4 linked regions of the Drosophila melanogaster genome follow. The protein of the gene in region 4 interacts with the protein of the main gene of each other region in a pairwise test. Each region holds a gene or a part of one and is shown on either strand. Other genes may lie near its edges. The genes, in order: CG2147, CG12470, Rsph3 and sina.

Region 1 (2,912 bases), on a different chromosome or scaffold from region 4:
ACACCTTGCAGACCAACACGGTTGTGCCCATCATGCTGGCCAAGGCGTGTCTGCCGCTCCTTAAGAAGGCAGCCAAAGCGAACGAATCCCAGCCGATGGGCGTGGGCCGTGCCGCCATTATTAACATGTCCTCGATCCTTGGCTCCATCCAGGGCAACACGGACGGCGGAATGTACGCCTATCGCACCTCTAAGTCGGCCTTGAATGCGGCCACCAAGTCGTTGAGCGTGGATCTGTATCCGCAACGCATCATGTGCGTCAGTCTGCATCCTGGCTGGGTGAAAACCGACATGGGTGGCTCCAGTGCCCCCTTGGACGTGCCCACCAGCACGGGACAAATTGTGCAGACCATCAGCAAGCTGGGCGAGAAACAGAACGGCGGTTTTGTCAACTACGACGGCACTCCGCTGGCCTGGTAAACGATGACAGCGGTTAGTTTACCTGCATTTTGTTTCTGTCTGTTAATTGTTGTTGAATAAACTGGACTCCTAAAGTCAAGAAACGCTTGGGTTTACTTTTTAGAGGTCCCGTCCCCCCATCATTCGCATTTCTGATTGTATTTTGTGAGGTGTCTTAAGTGTTTTACATAGAAAAATAATTGATTTTCCAGCCCGCCATAGAACACATTAATTTGAAGTTCCTTAGCCTAGGCCCTGAATTGGCGATAACTACATGCTATTTGGTTCTTGGTGGAACCTTGGCCACCCTGGAGGGATCGATGCTGATGCTGTGGGCCAACGGTGGCAGGCGCACGGCATTGGCATTTGGTCCCGCTCCGAAACCGCCCACATCCGCTCCACCGGCCGGTGGATTGTTGGGATCCGGATATGGAATCTGGCGCTGGGGTGTTACCAGGGCCACGGGACGCGGCGAGATTGAATCTTGTGCTGTAGGTATTGATAGTTGTGGCTGAACCAGCTGGACACTAGAGGACTTCCCGTCCAGCGGGTGGGCCACGCGCTTGCGAAGATCTAGGCGTGGACGACTATTGTTTAATTTGCAGCTCTGAGAATCCGCCGAAATGGGTGGCGGGTCATTCCAGCCGGGAGTCAGGGATCCTGTGCGATGGAAAAGTTTAGCCTTGGCACGATTTGAAAGCGGAATCAACTCACCAGGAAACGCTCCCGATGGAGCTATGATTTGCCCCGTTGGCGGTGGCGGTGGAACGCTTGCCACCTGCTGTGGGTTAATACTATTGGTGGCACGAAGCGGCGGTGTTGGATCCATGATGGCTTCTTTATTCTAATTGTGCCGCTCCCTTCTCACTGCTGGATTTTGACAACGGAAACAAAACGATTTTAGCTTCACTAAAACAAAAACAAGACTCATTCGCCTGACGTATCGGGCTTTGTGCTACATCGATATGTTCAATTTAGTCTATCGAAAACTATCGGTACTAACAAATAAATTTCACGGAAAGCCCGCACTTTTTAAAAACTGGAAGCAACTTCTAAATTTCTTGATTTGGTTTTTATAAATGTTTTTATCAACTTGCCACCCAGAAAAACGCAATCTGAAGTTTATATTTCTTGGTTTGTCGATTTTTTTTATTATTATTAATATTGTTATTTCATCTGACTTTGTCCGCATTTTTGCGTTAGGGTTACTCATAAATGTCGTTAATTTCGTACAATGGCTATTAAACCGTGCCTATTTTGCAATCCGCTTTGTTTTTCTTTAGGTATTTGTTTCGTATTTAGTTTAGTTTTGCTACACCACACACATACATAAATAAAAACTTAAACAGATTTACTGCACACACATTTTTTTATACCTTGTGGACTACAAAAAAAAAATTGTTTTTTGAATTTTATTATTACTTGCCCCGCTACCATTTCCGATTTCAATTCAAACTCTACCAAGAATCCATTATTAGTCCATCAGATCGAAATATGATCTCGAGGACTCAAAGGATACAGGGATAATCTGGCAAGTGCAGCCATCTAGCAAATGGATCGAAATGGAAATGGCAAGCGGGACACCGTATATGTAGATTTTAAGGTATATTAGATATCATTCGCTTTTAGAAACTTTCAAGTGTTCAACATTGCGTAACATAGTTTGCTATTTTACTTGACCCACACTTCTTTTAATATAAAATTCTGGTTTTTAGCTGCTGCTCAATGGAATTTGTATAGATCTCTATATGCACGGTATATCTAGTTAGTTAGTTGTGGTTGGAATTGAAACCAACTGGATCTGCCGCCCTGCCATCCCTGTTCTCTCTCTAGACGAATTGGTTTAAATAATTAATTACAACAACATTTACTTGGGAATTACTTTGTTTTTCGTTTTTCGATTTTCCTTTTGTTTTTGCTTTTGTTTCGGATACCTTAGCCTGTTCATTTTCTTTCCGGCTTACTATTTGCATTCGTTTATTGGGTTTTCCATTATCTTACAGTGCTTAAAGTTGGCTAAGTATTTTGTTTTTCCGTTTCCGTTTTTGTTTTTAACAATTTCGCTCGTGGAGTGGTTTTTTTCTAAGTGATTCTCCTAACTCTCCTCATCTAACACTCTCATTTATTTAACTCTTTTTGTTTTTCTCGTTTTTCTTGTTTTTTTTTTTTTTGGCAATGACTTACTGATTTTGTTGTTTCTCTCTTATGAACGGTTTTATTTCTTAGTTTTCACTTTGCTCTTGCATTCGTTTTGTTAAAAATTAATTGTATTAAGTACGCTTCGATTTATAATTTATGTGTATGTATATCCGTATAGTATATATTTTATAAAGTAAATAGATTACGTAATTGCAACACTTGCATCTGCATCTGTATCTGCGCTTCTGATTCGGTTTCTCTGTATGTTTCTGATTCTGCTTTTGAATTTGAATCTGAAGATGAATATGAATCTATATCCGACGGATCGATCTCCCCTCGCACAGCTGCCTACGGATTGTTCTGGCTCTGTTAACA
Region 2 (3,492 bases), on a different chromosome or scaffold from region 4:
CAAATGCTTTGCGGTTTTCGCAATCCATGGGCCTCCAAAAATTGACCCCTTACTTGGAAGGTTCACCTTGTTTCTATTGGGTTTCTTCTTTTTTCATTTTGTAGCAAGCAATAATAATTTGAGGGATTTGTTGTGCACGTTAAGCTGGAATCCTCCGCTTCATTCTTTTGAGCCGAATATTAGCAAAATGATGCACATGCATAATTTCCATACCACTCAAATGAATGGAATTAATCGAACGCTAATCGACTTGGAATCTGTACTCTAATTGACAAAATTCTCACACCCTGTAAGTCTCTAATTTTTGATATTATATTTACGATTTGTATTTTATCCACAGTAATATTGCAATAATTTATGTCGACTATTGTTATTTAACTTCTTTTGATCGTACGCTAACCTCAACTTTCCCAGCAAAACTCTACAAAAGGATTAACTTCGACATGCAAAATAAACGCTTTGGTATATCGCTATCACCGCTATTGGTATTAGAGCTATGCAAATTTGTTTTAGTTGCTTTCAAAGAGATTATTATTTATTGATAAAGATTGTGCCAAAATATGTTAAATGTTTAGAGCAAAGCTTGTCGTCCAGTATTATCCTCGTTGTGTATGCGTTGCCCTCTTTTGTTAGAAATCATATGGGACCTATTTAAGCGAATCGCATGCATTTTGCCTTTTGGGTGTACGTTACAGCGCCATACTCCTCCACAATCTGATCAATGGCAATCTTGTTTAGATTCTCCAGATATAGACGCGTCTTTCGAGACTGGATAATATAACTAATAACGTCGTGCATATTATCGAAGAAAAGAAATCCAGCAGTTCCGCAGCTGAGGTCTAGATAGCGGAACCTATTAACATCGCAGGTGCATCCATCAAACAGGAAGTAAATAAAGTCATTATTGTTGTGATACCGGAAAACCACGTAGTTGCCCCAAGGGGCCATCACGAAAACCCGCTCGGCACACCGGAATCCGGCTCTCAGGAGCTTGCAAATGCTATCGTAGCATCCATTCTCAGAGCCCACCACCGCCATTGTTTCCGGAATACGAAGAAGAGCCGGGTAATGATTCGGTTGAGCCCGAAGGACATCGTGGGGTCCGCTAGACTCTGGACAAGCGTCAAGTGGTTGCATCTGCTTTGGTGGTTCCGGACACGGAGGACATGGTGGCGCTTCGATGGGAGCCACAACTGCGGCGGGCTTCTTGCCCTTCTTTCCTTTGCCCTTTTTACCCATGGTTAATCGAGTCTACGATCTCTGAAAGTCGCGCAACGCACAAATTAGAAATGCCTCTGCGTTTGCTTCCGATCACTTGAAAATAGTTAACGAATCAAAGTAGCATATATCCTGACGTCTGAAATACGCATTTAAAAAAAAAAAATATTAATTCTTAAGTTAACCCCAACCAAATACTCAGTAAACACTGTCCCACACATATAGAATTACGACTTCCAATTGTGTGCGTATGTCATGTGAAACCAAATGCAATTCGGAAATGGGGAAAAAATTTCAGTAATATTCGGAATATGCCGAGCTTCCAATAAGACTCACCAACTAGCTAAACACGATTTGATTTTGGTACACACACCGTTCTCTTGTATTCCTAATTTTAAGTTTGGCCAAAAAAAAAATTTTGTAAATCTGGTCGAGAGCGAAGTTAAATTTTGTACAGTTTTTTTTCCGAGATTTTTTCGTGTGCTTTGTGTGTTCACAGACAATTTTACTTCTGATGTTTTGCCATATGGCTGGTGATAGCCAAGTCCAAATACTGACAGTTTCAGCAAAGCAACGTGATCTAAAAAAAAGTAAGAAAGCCATTCTATTTAATAAACCAACCCAGAGTAGGCTACGTTTGGTGCTCGTAAACAGCTTAATGCATATATAATTGCCAGTTCTTATTTTATTCAATTATCGTTGTATCACAACTTAAGGGACAACTAAATCTACTACTTTCCTTTATCTGCTGGAAGAAGAAAAATATGGAAATATTAAAAAAAATATCTGATACGATAAAAGTACCATTGAAATACGAAAAACGCGTATTTATTAATTAAACATTATCTAAGCTTCAAATGATGGCCTTTTATGAATGGACCAGTGGAATAAATCTCAGGTTTTTGGCTAAATGATGATGACACCACCATTATAATCGCAACCATACTAACCTAATGGGTTACATTTTATGGCTCACAGCGGTATCAAACGAATACGAATCCAAAAGAAAACACTCCTTCGATTATTGCTTCATCAAAAAGAAATTCTCAGCTAATGGGGTAACCCAACCTGTCATGCCGGCAAACGTGAGTCGGCAGGTTTAGGATACCCATATGGAGGAAGATATCGCTCTCTCCCACTCTCTATATACAAATGTGTGCAATCTTCAATGGTATTATTTAATCAGTTGCTTTAATGTGGGATGATTAGATAAGTACTAGAAATAAGATTCATTTACCGCATAAGTACTTTAACCTACATACAGTTTAACCTTTATACAGTTCAAATTATACTTCTTATACCCGTTACTTGCAGACTAAAAGAGTATACTAGATTCGTTGAAAATGTATGTAACAAGTAGAAAGAAGCGTTTCCGACCATATAAAGTTTATATATTCTTGATCAGTATCAATAGCCCAGTCGATCTGGCACTGTCCGTCTGTCCGGCCGTATAACGTCGACATCTCAGGAATTATAAAAGCTGGAAGGTTTATATTAAGCATACATATTCTAGAGACAGAACCAGCGCAAGTTTGTTGAAATATTACCACGCCCACTCTAAGGCCCCCAAACCCCCCAAAACTGCCACGCCGACACATTTGAAAATTTAATTTTGTAAATCTATCGATATGTTATCTACATATATCCAACTCCAACGCACTTCCTCTAGCGGAGTAGTAACACGTATCTGTAAGCCGACAAGATCGACTGAATCGTTTTCTCCTTGTAAATTCACATGGATATGTTGCCTTATACAGATGTCCAAGTCCTTCTTAAAAAAAAAAACGGCATGTTAAAAACGTAAAAAAGTACATGCTCATAAAATTGAGCTTTTTATCATAAAATAAAGATTTTTAGCTTTAAGCCGCGAAAGCTTAGTTTGGAGTACTTAAGCTTTAAGGTGCTGAATAAGTTTGCAGAGGAGAAATTGCGCATAATTTATCTCAGAGAGCGGAGTTATTTAGCACCTCTCCGGTAGCCTTCCCTTTCTTTTTTTATGACTGAAATTAATCTTCATTCACTGCAGGAATATAACAAATGGTTTGCTGATTGTTTACACATGGGCTATCCTGCAGTTGTATCGGTCAAAATAAAATACAGCAATAAAATAGAGCAATCGAAATTTTGATAACTGTGGTACCAAAGTGCAACAACCTAAAAGTCGACGCCAACGAGTCTAGGGCAAACAAAAAATAAGAACAAGGTCCAAGGCATTGGGTCAAAAGCCAAGTAAAAAAAACAAATAGAAGGAAGGGAGAACGTTATATACAAGAA
Region 3 (6,913 bases), about 10 Mb from region 4:
ATTTCCATTGCCTCCACCAAGTAGTCCTCCCTATGATGTACGATATATACGATATATGGAGGTATAAGAATGGCTCATATATTCCTGCACCCACCTAATGATGTGCTCCACGCGAATCCTCGCCCTTTCCGTTTTGCCCGTGGCCAAATAGTCGGCTATTTCCTTCCTGGACTTTTGCGTCAGCTCCGCCTTCTTCTTCTCCAGCAATTTCAGGCGATTGAGAGCCAATCGAAGATTGGTCTTCAGTTTGTTGTAATTGGGGCCGCTGGAAAACATCTTCACTACACCCTGGACTTCCGAATTAGTTGTGAAAACAAGGAAATTCGGTCAGTGGTGATTCATTAATTCGGTATGGAAAAAACAATGTGACGTCACGTGCAGTGTGACCGTACATGCAGACCCCTTAAATACCAAGGTAACATTGAAATTTCAAATTGCTTGGCTCTATTAATATTTTAATTTAATTTAACAACCGTTTAAAATATTTTCTAAAATGTTTTGTTCGGCTTATTTTGTTGAGCTTTATTGGTTGAATTTTCGGTAACACAAAAACCTTTAACAAGTATCCAGTTTACAATATGCCATTCCATTTTTTCGATGCCATTTCGCCGCCGCCGCTATGCAATTGTGTTTGGCGCCCAGGCTCGATTCGAATCCTGCGGCGAATTGAGTTCTTCACCAGACACAACCACAAAGTTGCAGCCAACCTTGATTTAATAGCAGGAGTGTGTTAGTGTTACATGTGTGCGGAATCAGTATCCCACTCGAAATATATATATGAACTAAAACTCGAACGCAATCACTTAGAGATGAGGAGCCGGTGGTGGCGGTTCGGGGCACTCCTCCATTTCCGTTTCCGATTCGCAGGGACACGCCTCCATCTCATCGATGGCACAGCCCTCCTCCTCACAAACGCCCGCATCCGGTCCGGATGGTTCCGATTCAGGTTCCTTGTAGCCGGCATAGATCTCGGCACGCTGCTTGATAATCTCCTGAATGATGGCGGTGAGAATCTCGCGCGAGTCCACTATATGGCCCACTTCCTCGGCCACCTCGGCGGACAACCACGGGCAGACGCTCTTCATAAGCTGCTCCTTCTTAACGGCATCGCTGGCCGGCTCAATGTTCTCCAGCACCTCCGGCACCAGACTGGCAATGTGTCCCTGGAGCAACTTGGCCGCCGTCACGCTCTTCTGCATCTCAGCGTCCAGCTCCTTGGCAATCGCATCTTGTCGCAGGCGACGCTCCTTCTCCGCCTGCAAGCGCAGCTCCTCAGCCTCCAAACGGCGCAGCTCGGCCAGTTCCGCCTCCCTCTGGGCCAGGAATCTGTGGGTAACACAAAACGCCATTATAGTAATCTGAAGATTTACTTTACACTTTTTATACGTACTCTTCCTGTTTGCGTCGCAGACTGGACAGTTCCATCTCGTGAGCCACCTCCAGCATGCTTTGTTCAATGCAGGCGTCCACCAGGACATCGATGATTGGCTGCGCCTCGGCATCGAAGTGGAAGAGTTCGCCCTCACCGATCTCGGTGGCCACATCCACGCCCACCTTGGCCGGTATGAACGGAGGCGTCGGCGGCTTCTCGAGGAACAGGTCCGTCTGCGTGTCGATGGTGAACTCCGGCGGACGCTGCACCAACTTCTCCAGATACTTCTCCGTCTGTATGGTCTCGTGCTTCCGCCCCTTGACCGGCGGCGGTGTGCCCAGGACATTTCTCTGATTGCGGCACTGCATCGTCCGTTTGCGCAACATATTGCGACGCCTCAATTCGGCGGCCTTGTCGAAGGGATCCACATCCGTCTGGAGAGGAAGCAAAAAGTGGATTAGTCGTAGGTCAGGGCTGCCAGAGCACTGAGCTAAGCTGAGCTGAACTGATGGGACTTACCACCAGAGAGGCGTTGCCGAAGTTGCTGCCCTTTATGACGCGACGGTCGTACATGACGTTCTTGTAGGGTTCCGGCGGCGGGACGACGGGTCTGCAAGAGGAGCAAAGTGGAGAAGCGGGCATGGAGTTGCCCAGGTGGGAGCCACCAATTAGTAAGCCTCGACCCAGTTCAACAAACTGCTCATGCAGCAAAAAAGCTGCAGACTTTTTGAAAAGGTTCGTAAATGTGCAACTTAAAAGGATTACTACATAAATGGTTAAGTTCTCTAATAAATATGATATCTATGTATGGATAAATATTGTAATTGCTGCTGGAAAAGCAAGTTAAAAGTGTATGAGTTTTAGTTATCTTTAGATTTGTTAACTTCTTTCTATTAAAGTTTAAATATTTTATTTATTTAGTTTTGATTTGCTGCAGTTTCAGTGCACTTTGCTGCATTTGCCAAGACCCAAATCTGTTGCACTATCAAGGCGATAAACATCAAATTTGTTCATTTCCCAACGCCCTCGCAGACTGCTTGTCAGGTCATCTCCGATTCGAATCAATTTCGCCAAAGTTCAGTACACTTTTGGGTCAGAGTTTAAAGCCTGCTTAAAGTTCCACGAGTCCAGTCCGCGGTGGCTGAGTAATTTATGACTTGCTAATTTATATGTATAGCACCGGCAAGTAAATGGGGAAACAAACATTTCTTACATTTCTACATATATGCTGATACATACATGCTGACTGCGAGTAGAAGTAGTATATAACGTAGTTAGACATTGCACTAGAAGAACTTGGCACCTGAACTCGTGACCTATGCAAATTCGCAGCTACTTTTGGCCCACAAACAGGAAGTCACATTGAAGTTGCTGGCGAATGTCTAACAACATTTCTCTGGGTCTGGGTCTGCGCACCACAGACATCAGCAAATGGAACGGGAAACCCTTAGTGCGATGTCCTTATGAGGGATATATGGTCTGAACGAAAATCTAAGTTGGTGAATCCTTTTTGAGTTATAAAATAGTTATCTCCCTAATAGGTTCTTTATTTAAACGTTGAGTGTGATATTTCATTTTTCGTAACCCAAAAAGTATAGCCCATTTGGCCGAACAACATCCCATTTGGGTAAAAACGACCGGCAGGACCTGTTTTTTGTTTTTTTTTTTTTTTTTATTATTGTGCCATAGGTGTCCTTCTTCTCTGGTGTGGTAATTGAACTTAATATCCCTCCATTTGTGCTTTGGTACAATGGGTACATATTGTTGTTGTTTACGAAATCTTGATTTAAATTATTTAAGCCCCGAGCTGGGAATATAGAATATTCTCCGCTGGCACGACACATTCGAGGGTCCTTTGTCCCTTTGTCCATTTGTCCATTTGTTCGCATGTTCTTTTATGCAAGGCAAACGAGTTTTCCCATTCGAGAATGCGCTAAATAAATTAATCAAACCGTTCAGGGAATTTACAATGTCCGAATGTTATTGGAAAAGCATTTCTAATTGAATTGTTAAAGAGTTAATTGTGAAAGTGGGTGAGCCACACAAGAAACTTGGCTGATGAAGAGCCTTCCATTCTATTTGCGTGTCATAGTAAAGTCTAAAAACAGATCAATAAGGTATCATCTTGAATCTATATCAGTTTAGATAACAAATCCTTGAAGGATTCAATTCGGCACTTTAAACCACAAAACCTATTTGTAATTGAATTGTTTGGGTGTCAATCGATAATGGCCGTAGGAACTGAAGTGGGGAGCTAAGTTCTGGTTCCATTGCAGAATGGCAGTGTAGGTACGTACGTATTACTCATTTGAATTTATGGTAATATATTTTGGCCCACTTTGCCTTGGTCAGTTGTCGGACCTTTTCCACTTCCCACCTTTTTTTTTTTTACTTCCAAGTTTAGCACCCATACCATTTTGGGGGTTGGTCTTTTTATTACCTCTTGTCGCTGATGTTGCTGCTGCTGTTGTTGTTGTTGTTGCTGGTGGAGCGACGCTGTTGCAGTTGTTGTTGGAACTGAGCCTTGGTGATGTGGAGTCCACCGGCGAGGGATTGCGTATCGTTACGGGAGGATTTGGAGGCCGCAGCTGTGGCCGCCGCCACTGCCGCCGTGGCACGCAAACCGTTCAGCCGGGTGGCGGTCACCTTCTGCTCCTTGCTCTCACTGCCGGTCTCCTTGGTGAGATACCCTTGGAGGATCATGGGATATGAGGAGTAGGCGTAGACATGCCTCCTCAGCATGGTGGCCGGTATCATTTGGACCTCATGCGGAGGCGGCAGGAAGATGCCCTGCGGCACTGTGGTCTCGAATCGTGGTCGCTGCGACATCGCTGGATCCATCCAGGCACCGGAATTGGCGCTCTGGCGACCGCCGTAGTTCTGCTCCTCCGGCGCCAGGAAGCGCAGCTTCTGGCTCAGCTCATCGGCGAAGCTGCGCACCTCCTGGTTGCTGCGCGAGAAGTGCGATCGCTGTGGAGGATTCCCTACATGATTATCACGGTTATCAGCTATGCCCGCCTCACGTCTAATCGGACGCACGATGGCCTGTTGGGGTCGCGTTGGATAGGAATCGAATTCGGGCTCCTCGGAGGGCTGATGGCGCAGCACCGAGAATGCGTTGGTCACCACGTGCTGGAAATTGTAGGGACTCTGATAGCGCTGGACGTTGAAGCCGCCGGCGTTGTAGTTGGTGGAGCTGTAGTTGGTGTTCGAATTGGAGCTGGACGAGACGCGTCCTGGTGCGTAGGGATAGCTGCTGGCGAAGGAGAAGTTCTGCACGCGATTCGGTCTATTGTCGGTGAGGTGCTCCAGTTCTGGCACTGGCTGTGGATCTGGCTTAAGTTCAGGATGTGAGTGTGCTGGGTGCTGCTGCTGCTCCGTCTCTGGCATGGTCTCCGCTACCGTCTCGGTTATCCCTGCTCCCGGCCGCCGGTCACCTCGTTCATTATAAATAGCCACCACACGGTTCTCTCACCCGCCGCACCGAAAAACTTAATCAATACTTTTCCTATATTTTTCCCTTTTGTGCGCCGCTCAGGTGTTGCGTTCGTTGGTTGATTGTTTGATTTTGTCGCGGAACACGTACCGCACGGCTCGAATGGCAAACGCCAAATGACCAAAGGACTCGCAGGACTCGTGGAACTCGCGCTCGGACCCGGTTTCGACTTTGGATTCGGCCCGTGGTCAGCAGTCGTCGTGCAGTTGGAAAAATATGTGGAACATATAGTCTCCTACTGCCCACGACTAAAGCTTTCCAGGAATTGAGCTGTTACTTCAAAGGACATTTTTAGTAAAAATATCCTTAAAGTGCTGCAATTGGTTTATATAGAAAATTGCATATTTAAACTATTCATGTTGCTGTTTCATAAGTTTAAATAACAATACTTCGCGTGCGTGCCACAATGTAAGTTTCTATACTATATACACATATTTTTCAAATTTTTTTCTGAGTGTATCGCTTGCTTCGCAGTTTGAGGCACATGATGGGCAGGTGTTGCAATAATAATGCGAACTGTTAACAGTCGGTGGCATTGGCATGGCCAAATCCACGTTCCCAGGAATTCTACTTTGCATAAGAGCTTTTTCTTTTCCATCCAAGTAGTTTCGTTGGGGTCTCCAATTAAAGGTTTCGCCCGGCGGAGGGACCTTGAATTTGTTTCGATGGTGTCCACATTTCCTTTCACATTGTCGGAGATGACTTCACGCATTTCCCTGCCTGACATTGAAAAAGGAGGTGGGTGGCTCTCTATTACTTGGAACACCTCCTAGGTATTGTCAATGGCCAAGGTCAATTGCTTGGACTGCCTGATAAGCGGAATTCAACAGGGAACTAAGCATAATTAAGTAGATTTCTTGGCACTCCAAGGAGTCACTCTTTTTTACTGGCAATGAAGAAAGGTCAGTGAATAGATGAAAGATTATTGTAACAGGAATTGGTAAGAATGTATCAGAAGTCCAAAAGCTTTTGGTAAAGCCTGTTGTTAAAAAAGGTAATTTTCTTTCACTCAATCATACTTCTATATGATTAAATTCGTTGGCTGACCTAAAGCACGGTATTCTTATCCTAATTTGAACATATACAGTTCAGAATTGATGTACTAATATATTCGAATAAATGATAAGATATAAGATATACCACACTGTAGTATTTATTCGATTTTTAGCTTGAGAGAAGAATGAGCACTTTACTACAACTGGATTTAGATACACTATAGTTTATTGGGTTTTTATCATATTTGGGGATCATCCTTATTCCCTGGTTGACCTTAATCCGACCCAAGTCCAGCCCCCGTCATTATCGGTAGTCAGATATATTTGTATATTTTTATGATACTAGTGCGTCAATTTCTACAATAGTTTTAAGCACTCATCGACTTCCACACTCCTCATAATTTCCTGTCCTGTGCACTCCTTCTATTGTTTCCCTTCAGAACACGAATGTTTCTATTCAAAATCGTACCAAGTTTGCGTGTCCTTTAGTGGGGCCATTGTATTGACCATCAGCCGAACACGGCCAGCGTTTAATAATTTATTTACGCAATTTATGACTTTCGTTTTTGGTCTTGGGTTCCATTGACCCCAGTGGGGAGACATATAAAGGTGTAGAAAATTCCCCTGCAAGGCGTTACAAAAAGCAATGGTTTTGCAACTATAGGATACTCATTACAAGAGGAGTAATACCCATGATAATTAACTCGAGCTTACAATTTCTAATGGTTCATATTTGTAGCGTATAAATGATTTCTTAACTACTTATTGAATTATTATATATTATATAAATTACAAAGAAAGTAAGAAAGTTGATTAATATTATAATATAATTTTACGAAATATTCAATATACCCTACTTGTCGGACTTAAATTACAGGGAATTACAGGGAAGCATGGGAAATTCTTTGGGTGGCTTCTGTTTGATACTTACTTGGGGCAACCTTTGATTTTGATCGGCTTGGGATGGCTGGCCCACCAAAATGCCTGTTTGCATGGTGGCGCTGGACAAGGATTCTCGTGCCACTTGAGCTGCATCTCGGTGACCTCGGT
Region 4 (7,079 bases):
TTAATCCTAAGACCTAACAACCAAACGATTCTGAAGAATGAGAGTGCCGATGGTTTTACTTTTTTTTTACTTTTTCTGAACACTGAAATTTTGCTTAAAAGAATTCGAAAATACAATCTGTACCACAATACAACGAAGCTAAAAGTATAATGAGCTACTTTTACTTCGGAGCCTACTTGCTTTAAATCATTTTAAAATCAGCTTAAAAATTTATTTTTGAAATTGGCCTAAGTATCCTAGTAAGATACCAATCCAGCTAAATCTTTAAGATGCTTCGGCGGTGCACCACTAAAAACTTGTGCCATCTATTATTGCAACGTTTTAAAACGCATTAGAAGTAACCCAAGTATCTCAAAGATAATCCAAATTAAACAGATAACTGATTTAAATCGACAAGTTTATAAAGTGGCGTAGCTCTTCTTTGTAATTCAGCTTCCCCCAGATTAATTTCAATAATTAACGAGCATTGTTTACTTTTACTAATCATGTTTATTTCAGTTTTGTAGTTTTGTGTCTGTGTGAGTGATCTCATATGGTAGTGGCGCGGTAAATCGGCGCATTAAAAGCTAATTACGGTGCAGATGCTTAAAATCATTAATTTTTCTTCCGTTTTCGATTGGGAAACGTTGGCCGAATGGAAATCAAAACCAAAACATGAGCCAAACCGGGGAGATCGTCTTAACTAGATAGAAATTTAAACATTAACATTGCTTTATATGTTTGGGGGGACTTGGGGGGAAATGGGAAGGGGCAACTGTCTTTTTAGCATTGCGAAAAAAAATGTTTTCTTTTTTTTTTAGTGTGTTTTTGTTATTTTGTGATGGTTTGGCATGAACAAAATTGCGGGTCGCAGTTTCGTTTAGGCTGCAACTTTCAAACAACTCTCGAGTTATTACAGATTATCGCTATCAAATATTACTTTTCTTTGTGGGTTATTAGGTTTGTTAATTTCGTTAAACTGTTCGTTTTACTTATTACCATTTACAAGTATTGTATAAAATAATTTACATTAACTAAACTAGACTTTGCAGTACATGTTCGAGTGGATGAGTGACCTCCTCGCCTTTCTTGCTGTTCTCCTCGTTTTGGTGAGTGGGTCTGTGTGTTCCTAGCGTTCACTGTAGTAGGTGGTGGGCACGTGGGCACGCGCAGGCAGCTCTGCTCCAGGTGTGTGGACCTTACGAACTAAATTAAACTAAAGCAGAACCCCATGAACTAACAAAACGGGTAACACTGAAACTTTGAAATATATAGTATTGTGTGTGCGGTAACTGAAAAATCATGTCCTAGAACTAGAGTACCAATCGAACCGATTAAACATACAAACATACAGGTCAGCCACGATTTTCGCATTCGACAGGAAAGTGTGTTATACAAATCTGCGAAATCTCACCAAAAATATTTGGCATTTTTCTGCAAACGAGTGAGATTTACACACAGTCATGTGCAAACTAAAAATGAAAATACGAATTTTAAACGCGGTTTTACAGGTTTAACGAACGTGTGCAATAAACACTGAACATCACTTAGCAATTGCTTTAATACGCTTTCCATTTCGCTTTGGAAAATTGTGAGTGTCTTAGCTTAAAAATCAAAGAAAACTGCGATATCGTGCCGAATGTGATAATCGAAGCAGCCTGATATTTCCATAGATATATATACATATGCATGTAAGTGGCTCTTAGAATAGAGAATCATTTTTATAAAACAACTCTGCAAAACTCTTTCTTCTTAATCTCCAGACTCACAATCTGTCCACGAGTTAGACGCCTGATGCGAACAGAGGGCTATAAACTATATATGTATTTGTATCGGAATAGTAAACACAAGAAATGAAAGAACCCGACGAATTGACAGTGCGTTTAGACCAGAGATATGGTCACGTTAATGCCCAGGTTGCCATTGTCGGCGAACAATTGCGCAATCGACGTGTCGAACACCAGGCAGTCCGAGTTGTGAATTGCGGAAGCGACGCCCTCGTGGATCGAACGCGGCATTGCCTCCCAGGTGAGCCGGCGTCGGTTTCCGTTCAACTCCAGGCGATAGACAAAGTTCTCCGCTTCCTTGCGCGACCCGATCAGCTGAACGATGGCAAAGAACTGCTGGTGTCCGTCGTACTTCTCCTGCTTCTCCAGCACGAGCATAAAATGGTGGCCGAAGCAGGACTGCATCATTACCCAATCGACGGCGCCGGGCAGGTTGATGTCGGTGGCCAGGAACACGATGTCCTCGCCCTGCAGCGTTGTGATGCTCTTGTGCGACATCATCAGATGCTGCATGACTAGGTCAAGCGGGCCCTGCCACTTACAGCTGGCGCCCGGGCACGGACACAGGTAGGGCCGGCACTCGCACGTCTCCTCGTGTTCTGTCTTTTCCGTGTAAACCAGCGAGGCGGTGCATCCGTAGCCGGAGTGCTTGCACGGGAACTTGACGTTCGAGGCAACCTTCTCCATCGCCAGGTTGCGGATATTCGCCAGCGGACCGCGGCAGGTGGGGCAGCAGGTGAGCTTGGAGCGACAGGACACGCACACCAGGTGCCCGCTGGAGCACTGCAGGATCGGCGGTAGCACATAGTCAAAGCACACGGGGCATTCAAACAGCGAGGTCAAGTCGGCGGACATGCCCGCATCACCGCCACCGGCGGACGACAGCGAGGAGCTGGACGACGAGGATGTGTTGGCCGAGGACGTGTTGCCGGCACTGGAGGATCCGGTCGAGGTGCTCGTGTTGGTGGCCACTCCCGTGGCACCGGCTCCTGCTGCTGCTGCTGTCGGTTCGCGGCGCTTCGGGTTGATTTTATTGGACATTGGAAGGGTTCTCGCAACGGCACGAATGTGTCTACAATTCTTCTGGGTCCCTGCAATTCTCGCCAGGTTCAGGTTCTTCGCCCTCCCGGTGGCTTCGGCAATGGCTTTCTTGTGCTTCTGTCTAAAATGAGATACAATCACAGGTCAGTGAGTAATGCGGTCAATTTAGTCATAGCATATGTATAATTTTTTTTTCTTTTTTTTGTAATTTTGTTCGTTCAGTGATAAGAAACTCCAAAAAACAATAACCTACAAAACCATACAGATATCTTAACAAAAATAGTTTGTTTCGATTAGGCTTAGTTAATCCAAAAATAACATATATCAACCAACAAAAAAAATCACAGTATAACACACTGCATAAATGCTGGTTTAAATTTGAACATATGTTATGAGCTTTCTATCGATTTTGCGGCTTAAGTTCGGAGCATACTATTGATTTGAATGTTCATTCCAAACTATTGTGCCCACTGGGACATGAGTAATAGGCAAAAATATTTTTCCATGAAGTAATAGAAATGAAATGAATGCAAACTGTGTAAGCAAAATCTACTCGATTGCTATAAAAAATGTTGCCCAGCAAAACTACTATCCATTTGTAATAATTTAATTTGAGCCTTATTAATTTAAAACTTATTTCGCGTAATCACTACTACTAGGTAGTTCGTTTTTCGTGCCGCCCAATAGAAAAGCCAAAGCGATTTATCATTCCTGGCCTTAACCTTGCCGTGGATTCCCAATTGTTGTAATTACCGAAAAAAGAAAACACACGCATTTGCGTGTATGGGAATTGCATTTAAGCAATTACTTAAAGCGGAACGTATCGAACCGGAGTTGGTCTGCGAAAAGCAAAGACACAGCCCGAGGTCGCCGTCACGTCTCCGATCGAAATGAAGGCCCGATTCCGATTCCAACTCCGAGCCCAAGCCCAAAAGCCTCTTGGCGGCACGTGTGGAACGGCGCAAATATGTTGGCTCTTATCAGGCGGAGCTGACGGAGCCGACGCTGATGGACGGCCATTAGGGACGTCGACCCATGGCGGGATTGTGCGATGGTGGGTGTCGTGCTGGTTGTAATGGGTGTGGTTCGGTTTCACGGGTTTGTCCACTTTGGACAGAATGGGCACACATTAGTGTGAACAATATGCTGTGGGTGCTTTGGTGCGTTTATAAGATAAATATCAATATAATAATATAAAGTTTTCGTAATTGTTTAGCTTTGATGTACAAACAAAACTTGTTCTCTTTCCTAACGGGAATATATTTGCTATATGATTGCTATCAAAATTTTGTGTGAAAGGAGTTCAGTAATATTGTTTATATTCGAAAACAAACTCAAACCTAAAAAATAAATAATATGTTTCCTTATTAACCCAAAACAAAAACACATGAAACGCATGAACATACAAATGTTTAATACTTTACCCTATATATTGGAAAAATTATTTGAACATTTGCCATTATGAAATTCGTACCATCGCCCGCATAAACGTAATATCGTAATGAAGAGTGCGTAACGTAACAAATGCAACGAGGATGTGTAGGGGGTGGGTGGCGGTAGGGGATGGCAGCCGCGGGGAGGGAAACTCACACACTTACAACACAGACACAGATCGCACACACATAATTAACAGTTCGTTTACGTTGCGTACCGTTGGAAACGTTCATACGGGGTAAAAATGGTAATTGCCACAAAAGTCATAGCCATGAATATAATTAACTTAGCTTCTGCTTTCATGAGTTGCAAAATGGTAAAATAGAAAACGTAAGTTGCGGAGCAAAGCGAAATGCGACTATCTTTCTTTAATTTATGCCGCCATTAAGTGCGACTAGGCTGCTGTTTAAACAGCAACAACAACTGCGAAATACATAATCGTTGATATGTAAACTTACATGGCAGGCTGCCTCCAAGAAATTGTGCCGAGGTATTGGTGCCCCGCTGCGTTGGTGTGTGTGTGTATGTGTATATTTTATTTTCTTGTTATTTTTTTGTTTCCTTTTTTATCAGTCAGTCAGCCTTTACGGCCATGCACACACACACACGCATACAGCCAGCATGTGTGTGTATATATCCTAGGTGCAAGTTCCGTTTTTTACGTTGCAATTTGTTATTTTTTTAACCGCATATATATATATAACCAATGCAGGTGGTTTTGCTACTGCACACGCACACTGGGAAAATGGAAAAACTGTTTTGATTGCTTTTCGCCTTTTCGTTCACCTTGCACCGAACCGAAACTCGAAATTCAGGCGTGAGCTAATTTCATTTGGCTTTTTATCTAATTTTCTTTAACGCGACCCGCACACATACACATTTATTCATATTTAGCTTTACTAGTTATTTTCGCCTTTTCTGCCTCTGTGTTGCTGCTGCTGCTGATGTTGTGTTGTTGTTGTTGCTGCACAAAAATAAACCATTTGCATTTACACACAGGCAGCGAAATGGGTTTTTTTCGTGTGTCTCACTTTTTCTATATTGCGTTCTTTGATCGTCGCAGTCGGCGTTTATTGCACTTGCCCTTGCGCGGTGTGGAATTCAGTCTTTTTCGGCATTCTCCATGTACTTTGGGCGTGATGTCTGCCTTTAGCTGGTTAATTAATTAATTTACTTTACTATACTGAGTTTCTTCTAATGTCCGCGTCGGTTGCAGAGATGGAACCCCAATTGTCGTCTATTCGATTCCAGATAGTCGATTACACGCAATCGGCAACATCGCAGTGCCTCCTGGTAGCTATCAATTGCTGTCATCGATTACTTAACAGCCTTGCCACGTTTGTCAAATTAATTTAATAACAGGAAAACATCAGTTTTGAAATAATACAAATCGAATCAGGCGCATAATTTTTAAAGGATCAAAGTTAATAATGTAGTCTGTTACTCTTATTGACAACTAAAGCCTAATTTTTAAAATAATTCATTAATAAATACTTTTTTATGATTTATAGTATTTCCAATCAAATAATATAGGCAATACAAAAAATTAAATAAAAATATTGATTGGTGATACCTTGACCTTGTGTCACATCATTGGCGGGAATGTTTAAGAACTTAGTTTGGATCGGGAAATTCGAAGAAACAAATTTACGAAAGAGTAAAATTGCGTTTTACGAATATGAAGTAAATAAATATCCTAATACCAAAAATCCCATTAATCTTCTTCACTTTTATGCATTTCCAGAGGGCTACCTCACGTCCTGCTCCTTCGACTATCTTTCGGACAACTTTGACACCCGGTTGTTTGTGGGCACCATCTTCTTTTTCAGCTTCGTGTGTCCCACGCTGATGATCCTTTACTACTACTCGCAGATCGTGGGCCATGTCTTCAGCCACGAAAAGGCCCTACGGGAGCAGGCCAAGAAAATGAACGTGGAGTCGCTGCGCTCCAATGTGGACAAGAGCAAGGAGACGGCGGAGATACGGATTGCGAAGGCGGCTATCACCATCTGCTTCCTGTTCTTCGTGTCGTGGACGCCCTACGGCGTAATGTCGCTGATCGGGGCATTCGGGGATAAGAGTCTGCTTACACCAGGAGCCACGATGATCCCGGCCTGCACCTGCAAACTGGTGGCGTGCATAGACCCATTCGTCTATGCCATAAGTCACCCCAGATACCGCTTGGAGCTGCAGAAGCGCTGTCCCTGGCTGGGAGTCAACGAAAAGTCTGGGGAGATCTCTTCGGCGCAGTCCACGACCACCCAGGAGCAGCAACAGACTACCGCTGCATAGAACCAAGGACAACTCTACTCTAAGACAACTGACCATGTAACATGAAAGCCAAGGAAAAAGTATAAAATGCCGACAACGAAACTGTATAACATTAATTTTATAATTTGTAGTGTGACATTCTTGAGTTTGAAATAAATAAATAGTAACTTATTGCAAACGAAGTAGAAAATGAGTCCCGTTTTTTATTTGAAATTCGGTTCTTTGATGTCATTATTTTGTTACTATTTCTACACTTACACTTAAAAATTAAATAACAAATTCAACTCAAATCCTAAACACATTTACACAGTTATTTGGAGCCTCTTCATTCCTAATAAAATCATAAAATCGAGTTTTTTTTTCAAAATAGTCAGTTATGTATTTATTCGGTTTTTGGGTAATATCTTTAAGATACCCATTGTGAAATCTGTTGGCATTTGTTAAACAAAATGAAGGTGACCCACCAGGAAATAAATTCCATGACCCTGGCTAATCCTCAGTTGCACATCAGGGAATGCAGTCGAATGACCGCTCGGTAATCGTTGTGCGACAGCAGACCACGCTGCG

Evidence for each region.
Region 1: the proteins of sina (region 4) and CG2147 interact in a two-hybrid assay, tested with the Drosophila melanogaster proteins (2 studies listed by BioGRID).
Region 2: the proteins of sina (region 4) and CG12470 interact in a two-hybrid assay, tested with the Drosophila melanogaster proteins (2 studies listed by BioGRID).
Region 3: the proteins of sina (region 4) and Rsph3 interact in a two-hybrid assay, tested with the Drosophila melanogaster proteins (2 studies listed by BioGRID).

The regions. Positions count from the first base shown.
Region 1 is NC_004354.4:8,239,085-8,241,996, reverse strand, and holds CG2147 (uncharacterized protein), read right to left. Parts: upstream 1,314-2,912; 5' UTR 1,228-1,313; coding exon 1,113-1,227; intron 1,059-1,112; coding exon 676-1,058; 3' UTR 514-675; downstream 1-513. Other genes in the region: sni (sniffer), read left to right, coding at 1-419.
Region 2 is NC_004354.4:305,955-309,446, reverse strand, and holds CG12470 (uncharacterized protein), read right to left. Parts: upstream 1,764-3,492; 5' UTR 1,555-1,763; intron 1,358-1,554; 5' UTR 1,240-1,357; coding exon 652-1,239; 3' UTR 512-651; downstream 1-511.
Region 3 is NT_037436.4:6,756,129-6,763,041, forward strand, and holds Rsph3 (radial spoke head protein 3), read right to left. Parts: upstream 4,987-6,913; 5' UTR 4,763-4,986; coding exon 3,813-4,762; intron 1,983-3,812; coding exon 1,892-1,982; intron 1,807-1,891; coding exon 1,391-1,806; intron 1,327-1,390; coding exon 804-1,326; 3' UTR 501-803; downstream 1-500. Other genes in the region: Ist1, read right to left, coding at 1-30, 95-276.
Region 4 is NT_037436.4:16,852,146-16,859,224, reverse strand, and holds sina (seven in absentia), read right to left. Parts: upstream 5,475-7,079; 5' UTR 4,700-5,474; intron 3,307-4,699; exon of another isoform or gene 3,241-3,306; intron 2,929-3,240; 5' UTR 2,808-2,928; coding exon 1,863-2,807; 3' UTR 513-1,862; downstream 1-512. Other genes in the region: Rh4 (rhodopsin 4), read left to right, coding at 5,986-6,533; Zcchc7 (zinc finger CCHC-type containing 7), read right to left, coding at 7,009-7,079. UniProt on the Drosophila melanogaster protein: E3 ubiquitin-protein ligase that is required for specification of R7 photoreceptor cell fate in the eye by mediating the ubiquitination and subsequent proteasomal degradation of Tramtrack (ttk).